2 linked regions of the Arabidopsis thaliana genome follow. The protein of the gene in region 2 interacts with the protein of the main gene of each other region in a pairwise test. Each region holds a gene or a part of one and is shown on either strand. Other genes may lie near its edges.

Region 1 (8,268 bases), on a different chromosome or scaffold from region 2:
CAAGATATCAATCTGCAACATAATTCCCAAAACCAACAATGCAGAAACTCAAATTCAACATCACATTTCAAACAAAAAGTTGATTTTAAGAACAAAATGAGTAAAGGGGATGGATAACGATACCGGATTCAGGCGAGAAGGATTCTCATGGAAGCCGAAATGGCGGGAGACTAAATCCTGGCTCGATTTCGTAAAGCTCTTCACTTTCTCCAACACCGAAGCAATTGGGTCCATCTTTTAATCAGAAACTGGTAAGGAAAGCTTGAAGATTCTAGAAAATTTCGAACCCAGTGATGATCATTTCTATCGATGATAAGAGGATTTGAATAGAGAAGATGCGAAAATGTTTTAGGGTTTATGTGTTTGGATTTTGGTTTCAAAATCTGGAATTGGACGATCCGGTTTCTTACGTCGGTTCGTTTCGGTTATTTTCGAATTTCTGATTATTTCGGTTAAAGAGTTTGGTCAACCTAAAACCAGAACAATTGATTATTTCTGATTATTTCTTCTTTTCTTTTGGTATCATTGTATCAAAGGCGAAGGATACCAAAGGTAAGGATATAGTTGACGAATGTACGACGAAGTAACAAAGGGGTTCTAATGTCCGGTTTCGATCTTAAGTTGTGGTAACGATTGAATCGCATTGCAGAATCTTGAACTGGACGATGCATATGGTTAGTTGCTTCAGTGAAGGTTGACTTCAATGATATTTTGGAAAGTCGTCGTGAGAAAGTTGATTATATTGATCGGGTCTTCTTAAAAAAAGAAAGAATAAACCTCATAAGGTCCTTTAGGTAGTTAGCTGAAATGTGATTTTCTTTATTTAATATAGCGAAAATGATAGTTTTAGGTCATAACTTTGAAAATATAATATAGAAATCTTGACTAAAAAATATTATAAGTACGTGTAAAACTCGTAAAAGACTCACACAATTAGAGTAAACTATTAGGACAAGTTAAGAAACAAAGTCTAAAACAATCTGAAACGTAACATGCTACAAAACGATAGAAAATATGATGTCTTTCTTGTGACAATAGAAAAGATGACGTCAAATTTTCCTTTCGTTTTTTTATTGTTAGCCCGTTCCGTTATAAAGAGTGGAGGATATATTTGTCTCTAGCCCATTGGACAAAACGTTCATTGAGAAAAATACCATATAAGATACATTTTTTATGGATTATATGGAAATTAAGATGCATGAAAAGGAAATTAAGATGCCTCACATTATTTCCACCATCTAGTCATTTATGTCGTCTTAGATTCTTTTATAAATCATATTCATATGTGACTAACACGTCTTCACATTCTCATTTGATCATGTTGCTTAAAACAAATATCTCATCAACCACATAAGCAATAAATGTTTTTAGTTTTTGTTTGATTCAGTTCATTAATATATAATTACATGTCCATCTTAAGCGTTCCGTTAATTATCACATTTTTAAACTCTATGTGATTAGTTGCAGTTTGCAACTTGGTTTGTCAATTAACAATAATGTATAATTTACATATCTGTTTTTTTTGCGATTTTTTTTTTTTTTACATATATGTATGCCTCAGCATGCATTGTTATTTGTTGACTCTTTGAACTTAAGTTGTGTCCAATTGTGTCAGTCATAAATATGAACACGTGTTAAATATTATAGAGAAAGATTTGAGTTTTTACAATCTTATAATCCACTCTCCATAGTTTATATATGTACATGCACGATCAGTTTTAACTAATAATCATAAACATATATGTACATGTACAATCAATCTCATATGCAATCAAAGTAAATATAAATTAAAAAAAATGTATATATGGATCTCGTTTAGTTTAAATTCTAAACGTATATTGTCGAAGGAGAAAAACTATAATTTTGTTTGTGTATATTGATTGATTCTTCAGTAATTTCTTCAACTATTCTGATATATATATATATATATATATATATATATATCTACTTGCAATCATAGTTTAAAGATGTTATTTCTGTTAGATGTTTAATCTTGTTTTTTTCTGTCAGTAGTCTTTAATCACGTGCCAAGTAAGCAAAACACTCTCATTATTTTAAAGAATGTTGATTAAATAAACATTCGATGGGCGATGGCTATTGGAAACTGGAAAGTCAGCTAAATACAACAATTTTCCACTTAACATTCTAATTATCTAACTATTAATTATTAATCATTGCTGCATGCCTCTGTTCAACTGTACAGGCTGTTTTCGAATATTTTGTAGAGTACAACTTATCAAAAAATCCCAAACTCTTTTATCTGACAATAATATTTTAAGATATAAGAAATAGTCATAGTATCATATTTTTCAAACTATACAATTTTTATAATTTCATTAAAAGGCAAAATAAAAACCAGGTTACGTAATTAATTTAATAGTCAAATGTTTGCTACAATAATATATTTACAATTCTAGTTACATCTAAGTGTAATAAAATTACAATTCCATTATAGATAGTATAATGGATGATAAAACTTTTGTACAGTTGATAGTAAGAAAATTTAATAAAATATAGGATATTAACAAGAAAAAAAAAACAAAAAAAAAAAAACACGTTAATGGGTAAACTTCGAAACTGAAATTTTTGTAGAAAAAAACAATCACATCATCAATGTATCTTTCAAAATAATGTTTTGACAACTTATCAGTCACTTTTAATTGGGTGTGTTAGAAATAGAGGTACAGTTTAAAGTTTTTATTAGGTTTTGGGTGGTAAGGTGTGTTAGAAATCAGTTTATTTTTTAATCAGTCATTGGTGGTGGTGGAAAATATCATTTTCAAATTTCAAGTAGCAATTATGGGTGAAATTTCTTGTATAAATTTCAAGTAGCAATTAATATATCTTTTTTTATATATAGAAAATTTACATTTTGGTAAAAATTTAAATTAAAAAAAGGAGCATGGTTATATCTTGAATCTTGGTATCTACGAGCATATTATTTAGATATAACAAACAAGTTGGGAATAGACAAAACAAAATGACGAACTTTCCAACGAAAGATCCCATTATAGTAATGTTATTCTTATTTATACTTATACAATCTCTAGTGGCTTCCAAAGTACACAAAATGGGAGTATTATACCAACAAAAATAAACGACTAATGAATCAAAAAATTCAAAATTTGCTTTATTTTATTCTGAAAATCTAACGAGCTGAAACCAAAATGTTATAGATTTAAAATAGAAACAAAACACCGATGATTGACCCAATAAAAAGCAAAATAAAGTAGACCAAAAAGAATAATGGTTATGCTGATAATTGAGGAGTCGTCGTCACTCGTCACATGAGAGGAACAACAAGAAAAGTCAAAACGTTGAAGCTTTCTCGAATAACGCCTTCTTTAGTTTACAGTCTCTCGTTGCGGGTCTTATCTTCTTCTTCTTCTTCCCTCTTTCGTCTGCTCTATATTATGACCAGATTCAAAATTGCGTAGCGTACTAATTCAATATAGAGAGAAGTTAGATCAAAAGAAGAACACGAAACTCTGACTGTGTCTCTCTTTCTCTTCGTGTGTTTCTATATTTATATATAAAAAGACAAGATCTCTGGTCTGGAATTAGAAGAATCTTATTTGGGGTTTTTTCTTAGGATTAAGCTCTAATGGCAGATCAAGTAAAAGAGCGGACTTTAGAGGAGACCTCTACGTGGGCAGTTGCTGTTGTTTGCTTTGTCTTACTCTTTATTTCGATTGTCCTCGAACATTCTATTCACAAAATTGGAACCGTAAGTCTCTTTATATTTCTCCTTATTTCAAGATTCCCCTGTTTCTTGCTCTGCTTTCTGCTCTGTTTCTTTAATTACTGCTCTGTTTTTTTGGATTTGTTTAGTTCTTCTCCTATCACTATCAACACTACTAAATCTGTGAGAATAACGAAAATATCTGATCATTCCTTTTTTTGTGCCTTAAACAGTGGTTTAAAAAGAAGCACAAGCAGGCTCTTTTTGAAGCTCTTGAAAAGGTCAAAGCAGGTAACTATCTTTTTCTACTTAACTTGATCCATTATCAACAAGCTTCTTATCTTTTTCTACTTAACTTCATCCATTAACAAGCTCCTGATTTTGTTTTCTACGTAACTTCATTCAGAGCTTATGCTGTTGGGATTCATATCACTACTACTCACAATTGGACAAACACCAATCTCAAATATCTGCATCTCCCAGAAAGTTGCGTCAACAATGCACCCTTGCAGTGCTGCTGAAGAAGCTAAAAAATACGGCAAGAAAGACGCCGGAAAGAAAGATGATGGAGATGGAGATAAACCCGGTCGAAGACTTCTTCTTGAGTTAGCTGAATCTTATATCCATAGAAGAAGTTTAGCCACCAAAGGCTATGACAAATGTGCAGAGAAGGTAACTAATAATCTCCCTTCTCTCTCTATATAAAAATCATTCTCTGCTTGTTAAACCGATGGAATTTTGATTTCTATTGATGGATTTACTCAGGGGAAAGTGGCTTTTGTATCTGCTTATGGAATCCACCAGCTGCATATATTCATCTTCGTGCTCGCGGTTGTTCATGTTGTTTACTGCATTGTTACTTATGCTTTCGGAAAGATCAAGGTAACTAACATTTCTTGTGACTTACGCAGTTGTTAAGGCGAGAAAAAGAGTGTATGCAAAAGATTTTTATACTTGTTTTCTTGAGTATTGCAGATGAGGACGTGGAAGTCGTGGGAGGAAGAGACAAAGACAATAGAGTATCAGTATTCCAACGGTATGTAAATATGTGAGTATTCGACGAAACTTAAAGACCTGAATGGGAATGAATTAGTCTTGTTATGCAGATCCTGAGAGGTTCAGGTTTGCGAGGGACACATCTTTTGGGAGAAGACATCTCAATTTCTGGAGCAAGACGAGAGTCACACTATGGATTGTTTGTTTTTTTAGACAGTTCTTTGGATCTGTCACCAAAGTTGATTACTTAGCACTAAGACATGGTTTCATCATGGTATGGAATTTATTCTTTTTATCTATTGTTCATTATAACATGTATCTCTCAAAGACAATGATCTAACATTCTACATATTTCAGGCGCATTTTGCTCCCGGTAACGAATCAAGATTCGATTTCCGCAAGTATATTCAGAGATCATTAGAGAAAGACTTCAAAACCGTTGTTGAAATCAGGTTTGGATCTAATAATGATTGCTTTATAAAGTCTGAGCAAAGCCAATTTGGATATTTTATCTTAAATCTCTGCCAACTTTATGCAGTCCGGTTATCTGGTTTGTCGCTGTGCTATTCCTCTTGACCAATTCATATGGTAACGTTCATTGCTTACTCGCAAAAACTACATTTTAGCTGCATCAATAGTCGCACAAAAGTGACATCGGTTTTCTTTTGAAACAGGATTACGTTCTTACCTCTGGTTACCATTCATTCCACTAGTCGTAAGTACAAACAAACTCTTGAACCGATTTTGTCTTTTTGCCGCCAGTTTTGTAACAGAGTGAAAATATATAACTGCAGGTAATTCTAATAGTTGGAACAAAGCTTGAAGTCATAATAACAAAATTGGGTCTAAGAATCCAAGAGAAAGGTGATGTGGTGAGAGGCGCCCCAGTGGTTCAGCCTGGTGATGACCTCTTCTGGTTTGGCAAGCCACGCTTCATTCTTTTCCTTATTCACTTGGTCCTTTTTACGGTACAATACTTGTATCCTTCACCGCTCGTTTTTTCGATCTTTTTCGGGTTTTTTCTCCTAACGGTAGAATAAATTTTCTTATCTTTGCAGAATGCATTTCAACTTGCATTCTTTGCCTGGAGTACGGTAAGCGAGCCATTTCATTTTCTTTGAAAACATCGCTGTTACGGGCTATACTAATTGTTATGTCATAAATTTTCTGTATTTGCAGTATGAATTCAATCTCAATAATTGTTTCCATGAAAGCACTGCAGATGTGGTCATTAGACTTGTAGTTGGGTAAGCTAACATTATCTTGACTATTGATTCTTCTGAGAATTTGTCCTTTAACTGAAAAAGTATAATCCCCCTTTTTATAAATCTTGCAGAGCTGTTGTGCAGATACTTTGCAGCTATGTGACTCTTCCACTCTATGCACTTGTTACTCAGGTACTAGAAAACATTAGTGTTACATGGATGCCAGATTTTGGTTATATGATCTTTAGTTTTTTTTACATTGTGTTGAATGAAAATTGTGTGCAGATGGGTAGTAAAATGAAGCCAACAGTATTCAACGATAGAGTAGCCACGGCATTAAAGAAGTGGCATCACACTGCAAAGAACGAGACGAAACACGGAAGACACTCGGGATCCAACACACCTTTCTCTAGCCGTCCAACCACACCAACACATGGCTCATCTCCAATCCATCTCCTTCACAATTTCAATAACCGGAGCGTTGAAAATTACCCAAGTTCTCCTTCTCCTAGATACTCTGGTCATGGTCATCATGAACACCAATTTTGGGATCCTGAGTCTCAACACCAAGAAGCTGAAACTTCCACACATCATTCTCTTGCGCATGAAAGCTCAGAACCTGTTCTTGCATCTGTGGAACTTCCTCCTATAAGGACTAGCAAAAGCTTAAGAGATTTTTCTTTTAAGAAATGATGATTCTTGTTTGCTATATTTGATTTCGTACAGTGGGAAATTTGTCATATGAAAATAATTTCTTGTACATTACTAGTTGGATAAGAAATAACCATATCTATATGGATACATGATATGTTATTCTCTGGCAATGCTTAAGAGTTTCACGAATTACACATACATTTGTATTTCTGCAGGTTTTAACGTCCTGAGACATCAGTGATGGTGACATTGTTGATAGAGGCTTTAAGAGCAATGCTCTCAGAGAACTCAGCTTCTAAACCAACGTTTCTAGGCATAAAAGCAGGCTGTTTCGGTTCTGGAATGTCTGCAACCTCACTGCTAAGCATCATACACACTGTAGAAACACTTGGCCTATCATTAGCAGCGTCTTGCACACACAAAAGCGCAATGTGAACGCATTTTCGTATTTCTTTCTCAAAAAGTTGGTCAAAAATCTCAGGATCTACCATACCATTAATCTCCCCTTCGTTCCAGATTGACCACACCTATGAAACATAGAAGCTTTGATGGCTTGATGACAATCTCAAGAGAGTTAAGAAACTTTACGAGTTAAAGTAGACTCACATGAGCCAAAAGAGTTGAATGTGAGTTTCTTCTTCCACTGATAATCTCTAAGAGTATCACTCCTAAGCTGAAAACATCAGATTTCTCTGAAAACAGTCCTCCCATTGCATATTCAGGTGCCATATAGCCACTGCACGATACATTTATTTTCTCGGTTTTAGGACTCTTAATGGAAAAAAAAGATGTAAACATATGGTTGAATGGAGTTACATACTATGTTCCAACGACCCTTCTGGTGTTTGCTTCATCTTCATTCCCCGGGAATATCCTGGCCAACCCAAAATCAGATATTTTCGGAATCAGATTCTCATCTAGCAAGATGTTGCTTGCTTTCAGATCTCTGTGAATGATTCTCAGCCTAGAATCTCTGTGAAGGTACAGGAGACCTCTACATATTCCATTGATTATTTCAAACCGCGTGTTCCAGTCAAGAAGTTTTGCTTCCCTTGGATCTGAACAACAAATTAGCTTCTGTTAATTGACCTGATGATAACACTGCACCAGAGTTTGAAAACAAAAAAGAGTGATAAGTTACCAAATATATAAAAGTCTAAGCTTTTCTTGGGCATGAACTCATAGACTAACATCCTTTCTTCCCCTGCAATGCAGCAACCAAATAATTTCACCAGATTTCGATGTTGCAACTTAGAAATCACAACCACTTCAGTGACAAGTTCCTCAAGCCCTTGTCCTGATGCTTGTGACAGTCTCTTCACAGCAATCTCTTGACCTTCTAGCAACATCCCCTGCAACAAAAATATGTCAAACATAAATTCTTGTTGGCTTGTTGCCATAACCCTTTACCAGTCATACTTACCTTGTAAACCGGACCAAAACCGCCTTGTCCGAGCTTATTGCTAAGAGAGAAGTTATCGGTTGCAGTAGCTAACACTTGAAACTCAAACAAAGGTAGCTCTTTCAACTTTTCTCTACTACCACCAGCTAAAGCTTCTACTCTCTTAAAAATTTGCTCTGCATCTGTTCCTTTCTTTTTAGCTGAGACCGAATCCAAGGTATTATTAAAACTAAAAACTCCAATGGTTAGAAGAAGCAAAGATAATTTAGTATAACTCTGACCTCTTTTCTTCATGACAATACGTCGTGCCAGAAGGACACAAGTCGCCA
Region 2 (8,807 bases):
GGATTGTCAAAACTCAGAATCAAAATGAGTTTGATAAGAATATTAAGTTGTCATCACCACCTTGTGTTCTGTATTAGGAGAGAAAGTCACAAAAGAGAAACCAATAAGCTGACTTTTCATGGATTTCAAGTTTTTAAAACATGAAAAAACACTTATCTCTAATAATTACAAATAGATTTTGGAACTTACATTCGATTTATCTGGGAAAAAATATTTTAGAAAATCTGCAGGCCACCAAGGAACTCTGATAGCCTGAAATCAGTAACACATTATTATTATCAGAGGATAAGGCTAATGACAATGAATGATGACTGAAGTTGATCATATTGGGTAAAGACCTGATACTGTCTGTTATTACAGTTTCTCCTTCTTGAGAACCAAGATGCCGTAAAACAACCTCTTCCAAGTGACCATCAGAATATGCATGCTATATAGCAACACCAAAAATGAGTAAGACTAAAAATCATTCGTCTGCTGCTTTGCCTGACAATAAAGAATAGAGGAAAATACATACCTTATAGAAACAACTTGCTCCAAATGGGCAGTTTCCATTTCCAAAGTTGAAGTGCTTACAGTCGATTGATCTGCAAGATTGGAATGGAACACAAATTGTATCTACTAAGCAAAATCAAATTTGAAGCCAGCTCAAAATCAAGTTTTTATTGCAGTTAGTAACTATACCTGAGTTTAGCCTTGTATATGTCGATAATTTCCTTCTTCTCCTCAGGAGAAGAGTACCAGACCACACTAGGGACAACAAAATAAGAGAGTTTGCGACATATAGGACAAGCTCTCAACGTACTGTTGACATCCATTCCCGAAACAGGAGCACTGCTACGCCAATTACGAATACATTGTATACAAAACGGATGATCACACTCAGTCAACAGCCCAAACTTCCTTTCCCCTGGAGTAGCCTTTGACAAGATACGATCCAAACACACACTACACTCAATATCTTGACTTTGTTTCAAAGCCTCAATGTGCTTCTGCTTCTTCTCACATTCTTTCGTATGCTCTTCTCGTTCCTCGGGTCTAAAAGGATGCAAACACTTCTTGCCACAAGTATTGCAGAGGTCACCATGCATATGTGGACACTGGTTACCTCGAGGGCAATCACCAGCTGCAGCAAAAGAGCAGATCGGGTACTCTCTAGGGTGGATACAGTAAACGTTAGAGGATTTGTCACCGTCATTATTATCGCCTTGTTGTTGCAAATGCCTAGAGGGGGTGGTGGATATAGAGCGATCTAAAGACTCAGAATCTGAGCTAAGAGGAAGATTGGAAGCAGCTCTGACATGATCGTATCTACATCTACTTCCGTACAAACATATTCGTTTCTGATAGAATGTGCAAACCTAATTTATACAACCAAGAGTCAAATATTTGGGACTGATGAATCAAAAGAAGGAAACTTGAGAAGAGATTAGATTACATTATTGGGCGGATCCTTAGAGTCATGGGAAAATTCGCAATTTTCGCCTTTCAAGCACGAGCCATGGACAAAGAACTTGCACAGTATCCTACAAAAAAGAAATCAAATGAATCATCGTCCCCAGAAACGAAAGAATCAATCTTTATCACCAATCAAAGAGACACAAAATTGAAGAGTTTGATGAATCGAGAAGTTGGGGGATTACGATACCTATCGGACATTTGGGGATTTGTGCGGAGAGAAGAAAAAAAAGGGTGGAAGAATGGAGAAGGAAGAGAGAGCTTTATGTGAAGAAATTGAATTTGTACGGTTTTCAATTGTTGAGGACCAAGCAGACCCCAACGTTTTTGAGATAGAGCGCGCTTCCTCCACCTCCACCACCACCTCTCTCTTTCATTTACTAAAATATCCTTTCTCTTTTCTTTTTGGCCAATTTTGTTTTATGGGGTGTGATTGGTTATGTTTATGGAAATTCGATCAGTTTTATGTGATACATAAGAAAATTCTTTGAAGCCTTCTTGGTGGAATGGAATCAAACAAGTTTTAAAACACACTTGTTACACAAAAACCACAAATCATCATACGATTCAAGTGTTACACGAGACTACTACATAATAATACAACAACACACGATACAAGACCGTCTCTCTCTCTCTCACTTTCGTCTTTTATGTACATAATATTACAAACAACAAATCAAGCATACATTCTCTCTCACACATACAAATCCTCCAAATTCACAAACTCTGTGGCACTCAAACCTACCAGACAAGTTTAAATGCTGTATCTTTCTTAATCATGTCTCACACAAACTCCACCTTCACGAGAAGCTTAACGGATTTGTACTTCTCTCCTTTCCGGCTATGTAAAGGAAATGCTCTTATTCCTTCGCTTAGCTCCCAAACCGGTAAGCATGTCTGTCCTCCAAAATCATCTTTCTCTGACATGTCATACTCATGCACTTCTAATCGTAGCAGGGCCAGCTCTGGAACGGTTAATGGGAACTCAAACACCTCATCCCAAGCTGGTATCCAATTATCCTCCAGTGTTTTCGTCTTCTTCATTACTGTATCCCCTGGAACTCCAGCTATCCCAACCTGAATATGCATCAAAAGCTCAAATTGTTATATTGCAAGCATAAGAGACAAGAAACAGTTCTATCTCAAAACATTTGTGTGAGGTTTAAGGCAGGGAATCAAAAATTGACCCTTGTATAGAAGTCAGGCGGTGAATATTGGTCAAAGTGTGTGTGGCGGAAATCAAAGTACCAGCCTTCTCCCATGTATACAGTTACCTAAGGGAAAGAATAAGTTCACTGAGTTTGATCGGATTTGAATTGGTAAAAGAAAGACCAACCAGAGAATCAGATATCTCACCCTAAGTGTTGTTTTCACAGGTAGAGTAGCTTTTGGGTCAAATATGTCACTATCCGAACCACTTTTCAGCAGAAGGTCAGGTTTCTTGATGTAGCCACATCCGCCATTGGCTCTAAACATTCCCTGCATTAGCCACAATGATCTTCCATACCCCTGTACATGGAAAAAGATCACAATCAAATCAGCTGAGGAATAAGGTTGATGTCCTGTAAAATGATGGAACATAGCTCCTCCAAAATAACTAGAAGTTTTACTACTACGTAGAAAGAAGTTGGTAATATAGCAGAAGGAGATACCTGCATATTGAAAGCCACCATTTGAGCACCGTGGCTCCAGCCAACCAACGGGTTGTAATTTGATGATGTGACTCTAGTTCCTTTTGGGTATATCCTCAGCAAATTGTGCTGAGTAAACCTGCGCCACACCATGATTAACAGGATTCATATTGAGTTGACAAACTGCAACTATTACTTAGAAACATAAAAACATAATATGACTATACCTCACAATCTGCTTCGCATATTTTTCTGCTGCCTTTTCAAGTTGTTCTTCGCTTAAGCTAAGGCGTCTAACCTTGTCAGGATCTACCTTTAAACACTCAGTAATTCCGCCTTTTGGTTTCCCAGCATGGATTGCAATCAAATGTTTATACTGGGGTGGTGCATTAATCTTAGACTTGTCTTCATCATCATCATCGTCATCATCATCATTTCCATCTAAGTCATCCTGCAACAAGAAAGAAAACTAACATGTTTGTCCATGAACAGCAACAGAACAGAATGAAAATGATTTGTCTTCGTACACACCTTAGCTTCACTTTTGTTCCTCTGAATAAAGCTCGGAACTTCTCTTCCCCAAACTTCTTCATCCCCCAAGTCTTTACCTTTCTGCACCACTTCCACATCTTTTCCTTCCTTGTACTCTTTTGGGGGTTTGGTTGAGATGATAATACGTCTTTTTAAAGAGTTTGGCGATGGGAACTCCTTCAAAGATTCTCCCACAGGAGGAGTAAACAGAATTTCCCCAAATATCTCAGTAACCATCTATCATACAACAAGAAAACACATCTCAAAACCAATGTACTCATCTATTAAAGCAGCAAAGAAAGAAATGCAAAATAAAAAGCTACCTCAGCAACTTTAGACTGAAGATCTGGAGTAAGATGATCTTCAAGAGTTACAACAACAGGATAGTCAGATACATCAAAGGCATGTGCTCTGATAGCTTTGAGACATTTGATCAACCCCACAGGTGTAGTGAGAGTCCTGTTTAAGAATGGTTCAGTAAACAAGTTAAACGCCAAGCACCTAACCTTGACTTGTTTTTCGAAATAAATTTGAAGCAAAATTATACATTCCGTGAAGAACATCAATATCGTCTTTGTTGGAATTGGGCCATATATCCAATTCAATGACTCTAACACCTTTCTTCAACGCATCAATAATAGGTACCTCACTACAGTCACTGCTCAGCTGATTACCAGTCAGATAAGAATTATGACCAGTGAATATGAAATAATGCGATATAGGAGCATCCATGTCATGATGCACCTGAAACACCACAAATTCATTAGAGATAAGTCTATAATCAATCTGAAAATAAAAGCTAGCACAATTGAGTCACAATTACATGTATAGCCGGAATTGTAAAAATATTAATTACTTGTATCATGGATTTTTGTGTCAGAGTTCCTAATAGAGTAAATGTCACATTCCTAGATATGTTACTTTCTCAACTTTTTTTTTTTTTTTGAGACATAAAAAGAAAAACAATTCTATTGCTTCAAATTCTTGAATCAGACTTATTCCACAACACCTAAAAAGTACATAGCTCCTACGACTTTCTACCAAACAGCAGCTTCGAAGTTCGAACTCTTGATTAGACTCAGTGAAACATTCAAACAAATTATTCCAAAAATCTCACTTCCTCACACCATTTCCTCAATTACCAAACAAGGAAAACGAAAAATCCCAATCCAAAATCTGAGTTTCTTATATCAATCAATCATAGTTTACTTCAGATTCTGAACTCATAAAATCGAAATAACACGAAAATTACCTTATGGAGAGCAAGAGGAGGGTTATTATCACCAAAGAGGTACTTGAAGAAAGCATCAAGATGGAGACCATTACGATGAAGAAGAGAAGATGCAGAATTGATAATTGACTGTGCATCTTCTCTGGTGGCTTTATCTTGTTTCTGAACATCGATCAGAAACCTGTGGAGATGATCAACGGTCATAACTCCATTCTCTGAGTACTTTTCGAAAATGGTCTTGATCTCACGCGGTGCCTCCGATGCAGTGTAACGAAACCTCCGGCGAAAGCAGAAACACACTTTGTACGTTTGCTTCGACATGAAGTAAAGAAAAAGACGGATCTTTGGGTAATGATTGGAGACGATGATGAAGGAATGAAGTAGGGTTTGTGTGTTATATAATCAGAACTATCTTCTCATTGTTTTTGAAATCAGACAAGCGAGATCAGAATCGTCGTTTTGCGTGTCGCATCTGCAAAGACAAAGAGATTTTTTTCCTTTCTTTCTAGTGAATCTCCTCCATGTAATGTTTAATCGATCTTGAACCTTGTCGGAAAAAGATCTTCTTTCTCTCTCTGTGCGAATATCCCCTCTGGCAAATTCTTATCCATTTGGGTTTTATTGGGCTTTTGAAATAATAAAGCCCATTAAGTTAGTTACTAGGGTTTTGTTGTTGTTTAAAGGAGGAATAAGAGCGTAAGCTACAAAATCTTTCTATTCATCTCCGCCGCTCCTCATCCTGTAAAGCTAAACAAATAATCAGAGGAACGAAGGAGACAGCTTCTGCGAAATCAGCATGAGAGCCAAGGTTAGTAATGGGTTTTGATTGTTTAATGGATTTTTTAGTGATGAGAAATTGAAGTAGTGTGTAGGATCTTTATGGTTTGTGTGTTTGTGTGTTGCAGTGGAAGAAGAAGCGTATGAGGAGATTGAAGAGGAAGAGACGAAAGATGAGACAGCGATCTAAGTAGATTCGGGAGTTTGTTTTGTCTTTCTTCTTTTTAGAACCAACTCTTATGTGAGTTTTGTTGGTTTTGCAATTTTCAATTTGAATGTTTTGTTGGACCAAATCGAATCTATGTTTTCTATTAGAATTATGTTTATTACATGGAATGATCCTTATGAGTTACTGATTCTCCTTAAAGTTCTTCAATCTGCTTATCATTTTGGTTTAATTGATTATCTATAGTTAGTGTCTGCGCTGGATGAGTTTTATCCTGGTGAAGGTTGAACTTTTGATATTAGAAATACCAAGTGAATTTGTATGTCATCTAAGTATACTAATAAAAACAAAGTATGTTGGGTTGATTGAATCTTTCTATCCAGAACGTTTTCTTAGTAATGTAGCAGAAATGTGTGTTTACGGAGGGATGCAATTTTTAGTTCATGATGTTCAGATGACTATTGGTACTTAGGTTTTTATGTGTACATGTGAAATAAACCTACCCTAAGATTTCATTATTATTTCATGAAAATGAGATTCACGTTGCATCTATGTCTTTCTGATGCTGATGAATGATGATGATTGTTCTGAGGTCAACCAAATTCTCATGAAGGATTTATTTAGTCCTTCTCGATATTAATTGTTTCATATATGAATAACAACAAGGTGAAACTGATCAACGGTTTAATAAATCGAAAGTCGAATGGAATGAAATGCTGAAGGAAAGTACAACTACAAAACTCATATGAGTAAGAGAGTTGAGTATATATACTCAAAAATGGCTTTTGACAAAAAGTTAAAAAAAAATTACTCACCTAAACCCAACAGAATATTACAACGAAAGGAGGTTATTATCCACATTATTCCCAGACAAATTCTGGTCAGACATATAAGCTAGCTAGCAGATGAACACCGCCCTAGCAAATTGGGCCGACTCTATGCGCTACTGATACTTTTCCAAATGCGGATATTAAAGCATAAGCTGGTCTGCTTTAGTAGCCGCCCATCGGTGGCATTCCATATGGTGGCATGGGAGGCATTCCTGGCATACCGCCCATTTGTGGTGGAGGACCATACCCACCACCACCTCCCATTCCTGGCATCGGTGGTGCAGGTAAAGCAAGTGGCAACATTTGGGCATACATGTTCTGTTTAAAAACAAAAGAAAAACATATTACTCCTTTAAGTGTATCTGTCAAGATAAAGAGTCGGATGATATCCAGTGTAGCTGTGTCATAAGTAGTACCTGTTGGGATATGACATCCTTCTCTTCCTGCTCTTTGGCCTTCACCTCTTTTTGTGCCTCAAGCTTGTCCTTTATTAGCTCATCCACTTTGCCAGAGTACTCTCGGATAAACTGCAAAGAAAAAACGACAGGAAGAAGAGAATTCATCATAGCGTTCAAATAATGGTTCCAACCTCATTGAGCAGAGAATCAAAAGAGTTTATTTGAGGGTTAGGATAGATCACCTGGAGGAGATACGGGAAGGCAAAGTCCATCATATTGTTGATCCAGGCAAGTTCTAGAGCCACGTCTGGTCGGATTAAGTCATAACATACAAAGAGACATGTAGCAAAGCATTCCTTTTTGCCCTGTATAACAGCAGAAGACACGGGATACTACGTTCAACGTCTGGACCAATTCTTTTCAACTAACCAAACTGAATGGCTAGCACTAGCATCTCGTAAATGTTTAACCATCATCATACCTGTTCAATGAAATACACCAGTAGTTGTTCTGCAAGTTCATGTTCGCCTGATTGTGAAGCCGTTTCCATACAGTCCTTGTACATGTTGTCTTTCTTTGATAATGCAATTGATTGCTTCCATCTGCCCGCTTTCTTGTAGATATAAGCAGCCACACGTCTCATTTCAACAAGTTCGTGTTTCTCGATCTGTTCGCACCATTCACAGGAAGATTATATCATCTCTAAGGCCATTCTTTTTCCATTTTTAAAGAGAGAAAATATTAAAGGGGTAGTATATTTGAACTTTACCTTCTGAGCGAGGCCAATCTGGTCAAAGCTGTCATGTAAATCAATAGACTCTCGCAACCTATCGTAGTCTTCTTCTTCCACGTATATCTCATTCAGAGCCTCATTAACAGCAGAGACATTGTTGCTCTGAACTGCAATCATGTATGGCTTGATAAGACGCAAGTGACCAGCCTGAGATCAGAAGAAACCAATTGTTAAGTAATGTAGCTCAGTTGTTTTTATAGAAAAAAACAAAGTCATCAGTCAGCTTCTAACCTTCCGCATTATATCAACAACACGAGTATGGTCTAACCGCAACGCAAGTACGTTGAGAAGATCGTTGATTATATCCGGATGCTCTTGCAAGTAGAAGTGCACAGCCTTGTAGTACAGTTCAACATTCGCTACCTTGGCAACAATGTCTTTGAATTGCATGTGCTCCCATGCTTCAGGAGAATGGTTCATGACGGTGGTCGCAGCATTATCAAACTCATCATATTGAATGTACAGATAGGTAAGTTCCTGCCAGTGCTGTTGTTCATCACAGGCCCGTATAAGCTTGGGAATATTGAGGCGAGTTGAAAATAACTTGATGTGTTCCATAAGTTTCTCATAACGATATCTAGCATAGAGTACACCCAACTCGGTGAAGATACCCATGTGAGCACGTTCAAGCCCAAGTCCACTCTCCATAAGTGAGATTAATTCATTGAAGCACCCTCTGTTCTGGTAGTACTCGCTGACTTCTTCCAGGTCATCCACCTATTAAGCACCAAAAGATTAACCAGGAAATAAATGAGATACATTGGGCTATAAAGCATACACAATTGAAATCTAAAACCTGTAAGGGGAAACTTTTGTGCTCAGTAAGATCAGGTATTCACCTGAATGATAATGTTAAGACCACATATTTGAGCCAACCGGAATTCCTCAGCATCAACGCAAGCAAAGCAGACTTCCTTCCATGTCTTTGCACTGTTTGCTTTCCTTGCAGCATCAACAGCACCTTGGAACTGTTGCAACTTCACAAGTGTGACGGC

The links.
Region 1: the proteins of PLC2 (region 2) and MLO2 interact in a protein complementation assay, tested with the Arabidopsis thaliana proteins (one large-scale study listed by BioGRID).

What each region holds. Positions count from the first base shown.
Region 1 is NC_003070.9:3,799,207-3,807,474, reverse strand, and holds MLO2 (Seven transmembrane MLO family protein), read left to right. Parts: upstream 1-3,241; 5' UTR 3,242-3,604; coding exon 3,605-3,727; intron 3,728-3,779; exon of another isoform or gene 3,780-3,915; coding exon 3,916-3,973; intron 3,974-4,088; coding exon 4,089-4,354; intron 4,355-4,447; coding exon 4,448-4,564; intron 4,565-4,657; coding exon 4,658-4,718; intron 4,719-4,788; coding exon 4,789-4,952; intron 4,953-5,035; coding exon 5,036-5,130; intron 5,131-5,216; coding exon 5,217-5,266; intron 5,267-5,352; coding exon 5,353-5,393; intron 5,394-5,472; coding exon 5,473-5,646; intron 5,647-5,736; coding exon 5,737-5,772; intron 5,773-5,857; coding exon 5,858-5,925; coding exon of another isoform or gene 5,926-5,929; exon of another isoform or gene 5,930-6,014; coding exon 6,015-6,075; intron 6,076-6,168; coding exon 6,169-6,576; 3' UTR 6,577-6,755; downstream 6,756-8,268. Other genes in the region: AT1G11320 (GDSL esterase/lipase), read right to left, coding at 1-12, 124-234; AT1G11303 (G-type lectin S-receptor-like Serine/Threonine-kinase), read right to left, coding at 6,756-7,064, 7,144-7,273, 7,358-7,595, 7,679-7,889, 7,961-8,139, 8,221-8,268.
Region 2 is NC_003074.8:2,580,388-2,589,194, forward strand, and holds PLC2 (phospholipase C 2), read right to left. Parts: upstream 5,512-8,807; 5' UTR 5,170-5,511; coding exon 4,870-5,169; intron 4,362-4,869; coding exon 4,165-4,361; intron 4,077-4,164; coding exon 3,941-4,076; intron 3,855-3,940; coding exon 3,618-3,854; intron 3,538-3,617; coding exon 3,314-3,537; intron 3,226-3,313; coding exon 3,108-3,225; intron 2,965-3,107; coding exon 2,812-2,964; intron 2,730-2,811; coding exon 2,643-2,729; intron 2,533-2,642; coding exon 2,239-2,532; 3' UTR 1,975-2,238; downstream 1-1,974. Other genes in the region: AT3G08505 (zinc finger (CCCH-type/C3HC4-type RING finger) family protein), read right to left, coding at 216-252, 339-427, 515-584, 682-1,358, 1,436-1,523, 1,646-1,656; AT3G08520 (Ribosomal protein L41 family), read left to right, coding at 5,645-5,656, 5,754-5,819; AT3G08530 (Clathrin, heavy chain), read right to left, coding at 6,784-6,939, 7,038-7,148, 7,262-7,384, 7,501-7,686, 7,789-7,959, 8,044-8,529, 8,652-8,807. UniProt on the Arabidopsis thaliana protein: The production of the second messenger molecules diacylglycerol (DAG) and inositol 1,4,5-trisphosphate (IP3) is mediated by activated phosphatidylinositol-specific phospholipase C enzymes.